Arabidopsis thaliana: one gene and its partner. The protein of the gene in region 1 purifies or fractionates together with the protein of each later gene. This does not show direct contact. Each region holds a gene or a part of one and is shown on either strand. Other genes may lie near its edges.

Evidence for each region.
Region 2: the proteins of ABCI14 (region 1) and AT1G27695 purify together in Arabidopsis thaliana (affinity purification with western blotting, with the first as the bait; one study listed by BioGRID). This does not show direct contact.

Annotation. Positions count from the first base shown.
Region 1 is NC_003070.9:6,844,414-6,848,682, forward strand, and holds ABCI14 (trigalactosyldiacylglycerol 1), read left to right. Parts: upstream 1-1,924; 5' UTR 1,925-2,057; exon of another isoform or gene 2,058-2,129; 5' UTR 2,130-2,215; exon of another isoform or gene 2,216-2,317; 5' UTR 2,318-2,398; coding exon 2,399-2,445; intron 2,446-2,535; coding exon 2,536-3,541; 3' UTR 3,542-3,709; downstream 3,710-4,269. UniProt on the Arabidopsis thaliana protein: Required during embryogenesis. Permease involved in lipid transfer from the endoplasmic reticulum (ER) to plastids, and necessary for thylakoids formation.
Region 2 is NC_003070.9:9,637,046-9,640,708, forward strand, and holds AT1G27695 (glycine-rich protein), read left to right. Parts: upstream 1-1,978; 5' UTR 1,979-2,077; intron 2,078-2,101; exon of another isoform or gene 2,102-2,162; 5' UTR 2,163-2,168; coding exon 2,169-2,208; intron 2,209-2,283; coding exon 2,284-2,328; intron 2,329-2,655; coding exon 2,656-2,688; intron 2,689-2,799; coding exon 2,800-2,957; 3' UTR 2,958-3,159; downstream 3,160-3,663. Other genes in the region: AT1G27690 (lipase, putative (DUF620)), read left to right, coding at 1-37, 280-630, 714-1,262; AT1G27700 (Syntaxin/t-SNARE family protein), read right to left, coding at 3,349-3,374, 3,474-3,660.

The DNA of each region.
Region 1 (4,269 bases):
ACACTCATGTAACCAAAACTGTTAACCATTAGCGTATGATTGAGAACGATCCTCCCTCATAAAATATGTGAAAGTTATCTAAGGGAATGTTAAGATATAGTTTTTGTTTTATTCAAACACCGTTAGTTAAACTTGAAAGCATGCATGCTAATGTTTGGGATTCGATCCTATGCGAGAGATCAATCTTAAGAGAGGTTAAACTTCACATTCAATAATGTACCGGGAATGGAGACTTCAAGAATCATCGGCTTGATAGACCACTAATAAAAAAATGACAAAAACTAGAACATCCAAATATATGTCGTTCGAAAATGTAATTCCGTAGCTAGCTTATACAATTCTATACACAGAAGATATTTCGAATATAGACACATATAAGATGTTGCGGTAATGCAATTTTAAGTGTAGTTGGACATGGATTGGTGAGAAAAGTAAAGTGAAAAAAAGAAATAATTAAGGAAGAGGGGGCTATAGCTCTGAAACCCTAGACGAAAGCAACACTGCATTGCCAATAGTAGAAACAGTGCGATCACGAGATTCAACTCATTCCTACTTTCTTACTTCTTAGTATCCACTCCACTTGTAGTACTAGCTAGCTCCCTGCCACGTGGTCCTCTCCTCTTCTTTTAGCTTTATGGGCCTTGTAAAGCCCGCGGGCCCCATCTGCCCATCCCATGCACATGCATCACATTATGCTTTCTCTCTATCTACGAAATTACGAATATAAGTATACGTATAGAACACTTTTTACAATAACCAAGGGTCAAAGTTTTCTCGAGTCGGAGGATATGAACTAAATAGTACATTGTCTACCAGCGAAGCTTGAACATGAGATCTTGAGACACATTTCCTTTGGAAGGTACTGAATTGAGTGTTCATAGCGGTTCAAGGAACTCGATTAATTTAAAATACCTGAATTACCATTTTTTTGGGGATTCGTTGTGCTTTTTTAATCAATCTACCGGAAATGAAGACAAGTTTTGCTAAAAACGTAACACTTGAATATTGTAAATTTGTAACATAAAACTCTAAAACCTTAACAAATTAATACCTCTAATTAAAATAGAATACTCATAAAAATATAAAATGTAAAAGATACAAATATTGAATATCTTCTAATATAATTCTAAGATGCGAAAGATATAGTAGTCGAATTAAAGCAACCAATTTCAGCGTTTCCTTAAACTTATATTTCCAAAATATCATCTAGGACAGTTTGTTTTTTTTAAGAATCGAGACCCTCTACTAAACTCTTGCATTCAATTTGGTAGAATCACGTTTTGTGTAGGAGAGAAGTAGTGCTTTTGGTTTGTAGTGTAGAGTAGGGTAAACGTGAGTATATAAAACGTAGAGAGGCATATATTATACAGAGAGTGTGCTTTTAAAGAACGGACCGGCTGAAGAAAAAGATAACGTTGTTGTCTCCGTAAAGGTTACCAAGTATCACTGTCACGTGACCACCACCATTCCTCTTTTCACATCTTTCTCCTTTCGATATTGGTTATATTATAGTTAAGTTAGCATTTAGTTAAATTTACTATATATTAGTAAGCAATGAAGGGGATATTAGTACAAATCTGGACATGAAATGTAGGCCTTTATTTGATTGATTGTCTTGGTATAAACATTTCATATAATAGCTTTGTAGATTTATACAACCAATTAAATAATTAACACTTTACATATACAGAATAACATAAAATGTTTAGATCATATATTTTGTCATTTTGGATCAATAGAGAAAAACACTCATTGTTATTTTCTTATTTATACTTTTCTGTATCAGTCTATGTGTAAAGTACAAGTGGACCTGCCGTGAATGGCATAGAGCCCACGCTTTACTTGTAAAAGTATATTGGGCTTTACGGCCCACGGACCAATTTATGTTTTGCCATTGGTTTTTTTTTTGTTTGTTTTGTTGGGAGTTAAACCCACACATCTTCTTCGCAACTGTTAGTTGTGTGTGTTGTTGTTGTTGGCACTGTGCCACTTTCTCTCTCGATGAACCCTCTCAAGCAAGCTTCTTCGATCTTCCGAGCTTAGTTTCGTTTCTAAATGTAAGTTTTCAAGTTTTTGTTTCAGTAAGAAGATTGATAGACCTAATTATTTGTTCCCCTTCTATATAGTAGAGATTTCACCTAGATTGGTCCGTACATATCTTATACTGGGATTCGAATTTGGCTGCCTCAGAGTCAGAGATTGATTAATTGATCAGGTCACCGGAAACTTTTTGTCTCGATTTGGATCTCTTATGCAAAATCTGTTGTGTCCTAATTCTATTTGATTGTAAATCAATTTGATTCTGGGTTTATTACAGATTCAGCTGTTGAAATCGTGCTTATTGCTACAAATTGAGAGGCACTAAATCAGTGAGGTCGTAAAGAAGAAGGCAACCACAATGATGCAGACTTGTTGTATCCATCAATCGTTTTGTTTCCCTCATAGGTATTTTGTGTTGCCATAAGTTTATAAGCTTTCTCATTTGCTTCATTGTCAGAATATGTTATTTTGGATTCTTGAATATTAATTTTGCAGAGTCTTTCCACGGTTTGATGCTTCGATTGGTATTAAGCCCCCAAAGCTTTGTCAAGTTGGTTTCATTGGAAAGACTCAATCTTATGGGATTTCAAGTCCGATACGGCAAAGAAGATTATATGTGAATTTGAATGCTAATGATGGTCACCCATCCATGTCTATGTTGGAAGAAGAAACCTCTACTGAAAACAACGCACCCAGTCAAGAAGCCGAGCTTCCGTTCAGCAAATGGTCACCTTCTAAGTACATATGGAGAGGTTTATCAGTTCCTATTATAGCAGGACAAGTCGTTCTCCGGATTTTAAAGGGTAAGATTCACTGGAGAAACACTCTTCAACAGCTGGAGAGAACCGGACCGAAATCTCTAGGAGTTTGTCTTCTGACTTCTACATTTGTTGGTATGGCTTTCACAATCCAGTTCGTTAGAGAATTCACTAGACTAGGTCTAAACAGATCCATTGGAGGTGTCTTGGCTTTAGCCTTCTCTAGAGAGCTAAGTCCAGTCATCACATCGATTGTTGTTGCTGGACGAATGGGAAGTGCATTTGCAGCTGAACTAGGGACAATGCAAGTCTCAGAGCAAACTGATACACTCCGTGTTTTAGGAGCTGACCCAATTGATTATCTAATCACTCCAAGAGTCATCGCCTCGTGTTTGGCTCTACCGTTTCTGACACTCATGTGTTTCACTGTTGGTATGGCTTCAAGCGCTCTGCTCTCTGATGCAGTTTACGGGATCAGCATTAACATAATCATGGACTCGGCTCACCGAGCACTTAGACCATGGGACATTGTGAGTGCCATGATTAAATCTCAAGTCTTTGGAGCTATAATATCGGTAATTAGTTGTTCTTGGGGAGTAACCACTACTGGAGGTGCTAAAGGTGTTGGAGAATCTACAACTTCTGCTGTCGTCATGTCTCTTGTCGGAATCTTCATCGCGGACTTTGTGCTTTCTTCCTTCTTCTTTCAAGGTGCTGGAGATTCTTTGAAGAACTGTGTTTGACATATTATTTTCTGTCTTCTTTTGTTGTGGTTTAGATGGGTTTATGTAAATCAGTTGTCTTAAATTGAGAAAGTAACATCATTTTAGAAAGAACAGAAAGATTGCTATATTTCTATTCCAATAATGATACACATTGAATAATCTTGAACTATATAGTTCATCGGAAAATTTGCAATCAGTATGGGCGGAGTTAAAATGTTATGCTATGAACTTATGACATAACATCTTATTTGACCAAGCAGATATAACATGGTAAAACCAAACTAGCTTACTTGACCAATAATCCAAAAAAAATAAGCATGAAGTTTTGAAAAAATGTTGAAAACTGGAAAAACTTGGCCAATCTCTTGACTTTTCTCTTCACCTGCCGCTTTGCATACGACTCGACGCTTCCTCAAAATGAACCATCTTTGTCCTACGAGGGTACGAGCCTGTCTCATCGTCTCGAGCCGCCAAACCAGCTTCTATAACCAAAGCTTCAAGATCAGCTCCACTAAAATTCTCACAACGCCTAGCTATAGCATCCAAATCAACACTTGTGTCTAAAGGAATCTTCCTCGCAAGAGATTTCAGAATCAAACCTCGTTGAACAGAGTTTGGAAGAGGTATATAGATATGTTTCCCAAACCTCCCTGGTCTTGTAATCGCAGGATCCATCATCTCCGGTCTATTCGTTGCACCAATCACAAACACTCCATCTCGTTCTTTTCCACCGCTCATTTCATTGA
Region 2 (3,663 bases), 2.8 Mb from region 1:
TCTCCTTCCACACCTCAGTATCAAGAATACACCTATGGTGAGCTCTTAATTCACTGTTGTCTCCTCAAAATTAGGACAGTGTTGGGGATTTGGAGTTAATCATGTTGAATTAAGCTCTTCTGTGCCATAATCTAGCTTGAATTTAGCTGAATCTTCTTTTAGTTGCCTACTAATTACGGAGAAAGACTGCGCAATTAATTGAGATTTATCAAGTTTTATCTCTGCTTTAATGTGTTGAGGGTAAAGTCTAATGACTCTTACTAATACTTGAATTTTCAGGAGACTTCCTCTGCTCAGTACATACTTCAGCAGTATACGGCTGCATCAGGAGGTCAAAAGCTTCATAGTTCTGTGCAAAATGGATATGTTATGGGAAGAATCAGGACGATGGCTTCAGAGTTTGAGACAGGCTCAAAAGGTTCAAAGAGCAAGAATAATTCGTCAAAAGCTGTTGAGTCTGGAGGATTTGTGTTGTGGCATATGAATCCTGATATGTGGTACATGGAGCTTGTTCTTGGTGGGAGCAAGGTTCTTGCAGGTTGTGACGGGAAGCTTGTGTGGAGACACACACCATGGCTTGGACCTCATGCTGCAAAAGGACCGGTTAGACCATTACGACGTGCTCTGCAGGTTAGGCCTCTTGTCCCAAGGAAGCCTTCTCATACACTTTTCTTTGCTTGCATAACTGAATTGTTACTGTTGTCAACTTTCAGGGACTTGACCCGAGGACCACAGCGTATATGTTTGCAAATGCAAGGTGCATAGGAGAAAAAAAGATCGATGGAGAAGACTGTTTCATTCTCAAGCTATGTGCAGACCCGGCAACACTCAAAGCTAGAAGCGAAGGGGCATCAGAGACCATAAGACATACGTTGTTCGGTTACTTCAGCCAAAAAACCGGTCTGCTTGTTCACTTAGAAGACTCCCAGCTAACCCGAATCCAAAACAATGGAGGCGAAGCGGTTTACTGGGAGACGACCATCAACTCATACCTAGAAGACTACAAACCTGTCGAAGGTATCATGATAGCTCACTCTGGTAGATCCGTGGCTACGCTTTTAAGGTTTGGAGATATGTCATCAGGACATAACACTAAGACCACAATGCAAGAAGCATGGGTCATCGATGAAATCTCGTTCAATGTCCCTGGCTTGTCTATAGATTGCTTCATTCCACCTTCAGAACTCAGATTTGATTCCCACGTTGAAGACTTATCTCAAGGCCCCAAAATTAGGACATTGCACGGCCATAAAAATGGTTGATGTGAAGAAGCAGGAGATCAATGTGTATAACTCATTCAAAAACAAACCCTAGACCGGTTATTTTACTTTTGCTATTGTCGAAGCTAAAATTCTTGTAGGAAGTTTCGTTGAAGTTGTAAATAGACAGCAGGAGAAGTTCGTTCTTTTTGCCGCATAATGTTAGGAATGTGTAGTCTTAGTAAGGTCAGTCCAATTTTTAGTTTATAATATTGTTTCATATACTATGATAGAAGCTCCCATCTATTTCACCTAATAGCATATAGTATAAAGAAATATTACTTGGTCATCCATACCAATTGGAACTGATGAATACGATCTTCCTTGTATTGTATATCAATAAATTCATAGTGTGAGTGTAGTTTCTTTTGTAGCACAAACTAGTAAATGTTATTTCTCCTCCTACTGTCTATTTCAAACCGTTGCTCATTAGTTTACTCCAAAAAATGGCCATAAGTACTTATCTGTTTGTCTGTCTCAACCATCCAAATCCTATTTGTGAGTTGGATTTCAATGGGACATGAGCATTTTTGCATATGGATTGATCCATTTGCTCACTAGATCGTTTTATTTTACTGTTGACTGTTGTTGACCTTGAGAAAAAGAATTAGGCCGGTTCACTGTTGACCAAATTCTTTTACATAAAATCATTTTGAAAATAATCCCGGTTCATTAGTTAAACCGGTTCGATTAATTTGGTACGTCTCTAAAACAAATCGTCTTCACCTTTCTTCTCTTGCTTTCAGGGCTTGCGATTTTAAGTGGGGGAGGTAGAGAGAGCAATCTACCAGATTCACCGATTACCAACAACAAACAAGGTATCATCGGGTAATTCAGATTCGCAATTTCTGCTCATTTGAATTTATAGATTCCTAAATTGGTTTCTTTTTTTTTCTTGTGAAGATCACTATGGTGCTCTCTGACTTCACTGGAGTCGGTGTTGGATTTGGTAATGCCCCCATTCGCAATTGTTTTCTCCTTTTAATTTTGATTGGAATCGTAATTTAGTTATTGGAATTCATAGGGTTCGGTGTTGGTTGTGGATTTGGCGTTGGATGGGGTTTTGGAGGTTCGTTCTCAACTTCTCTCTTTTTCTGCTTTTACTTGAACAAAATCTGGACTGAATTACAAGATAATTCTATTGGAACAATTCTCTTGCTAGTTGCTATGGGATGTGCAATGCACTCTGCTGTGCTTGTTTAGTTTTGTGATCATATTGCTTAATGTCTCTTATAGAGATTATCAACTCCTACATATCATCTTTACTCAAATGCTTCTTCTTTCCTAGCTAATGGTTGCTTAAACGCATAGCTAGTATCAGTTGCGCTTACATTTTGATGGATTCATACTATTTTGCAAACCTACTGAATTGGAGATTTCCGTTGCTTTCATGCAGGAATGCCTATGAACATCTTAGGTGTTGGTGCTGGTAAGCATTTCAAACTTCTACTTCAAATATCCCACACTCGCATAGATACACACCGAGCAGGTTTTTCCTAAATTCTAATTACGTAACTTATGCGTCTGGTATTTGACAAAGGTGGCGGTTGCGGGGTGGGTTTGGGCCTCGGGTGGGGTTTCGGGACTGCGTTTGGGAGTCACTATCGTTCATCTAGACTTACATTTCAAGGCATCGAGTTAGAGACTGCCGATAAACGGGAGGAGGTGGTGGCTAACATGTCCAAAAACTCCACTTAAGCAGTCGTGTGCTTCAATACTCTGCTCGGATTGATTGTAAAAGAATTCTGACACCTTTTCTTATTTCTCAATGAAACGGTTACTTCAAATAATCCAATACGAAATGCATTTCTGTATTCTGAATTGTCATTTTTAGAAGGTTCCACTTCAATCTTGGGTTTAGTCCCAAATAATTCTACAATGGTTAATAGGATTGGTGCCTAAGAAAACAATGATTGCTCAATGAAACCCGTTTCAAATAATCGAACCAAAAAAATGCATTTCTATATTACAAACAACCAAAAACAGTTGGAATTTACTGTACAGTAAAAATGTGGATTGCCAAATTCGTCTCTTTCGCTGTTACACAGAAGATGAATGAACTCGAACCTTGCTATTCCAAACCTCTCTTCTACATTGAATGCACTGCAACTACCACTGCAATCAGAAAAAAAAACAATTTATCTCAAAACTCAAAAGTGATGCAGTAAGCTTTGCGTTCTAAACATAAATGATTCAGAGTTCAGTAAATCTTACCAATAAGAAAAACTAAAAGAATAATCCAAATTGCAGCGTGAACCGATTTACTATATCGCATTCGATACTGAGACCGTTGGAGTTGCCTCTGTAGAGCTCCATACCAACCATGAAGCTGCTTTTCATAACAGTCCTCCTCACACTCCATACAACTCTTGCCCCTCTCTGAACATCCATTCATATCTTGCTG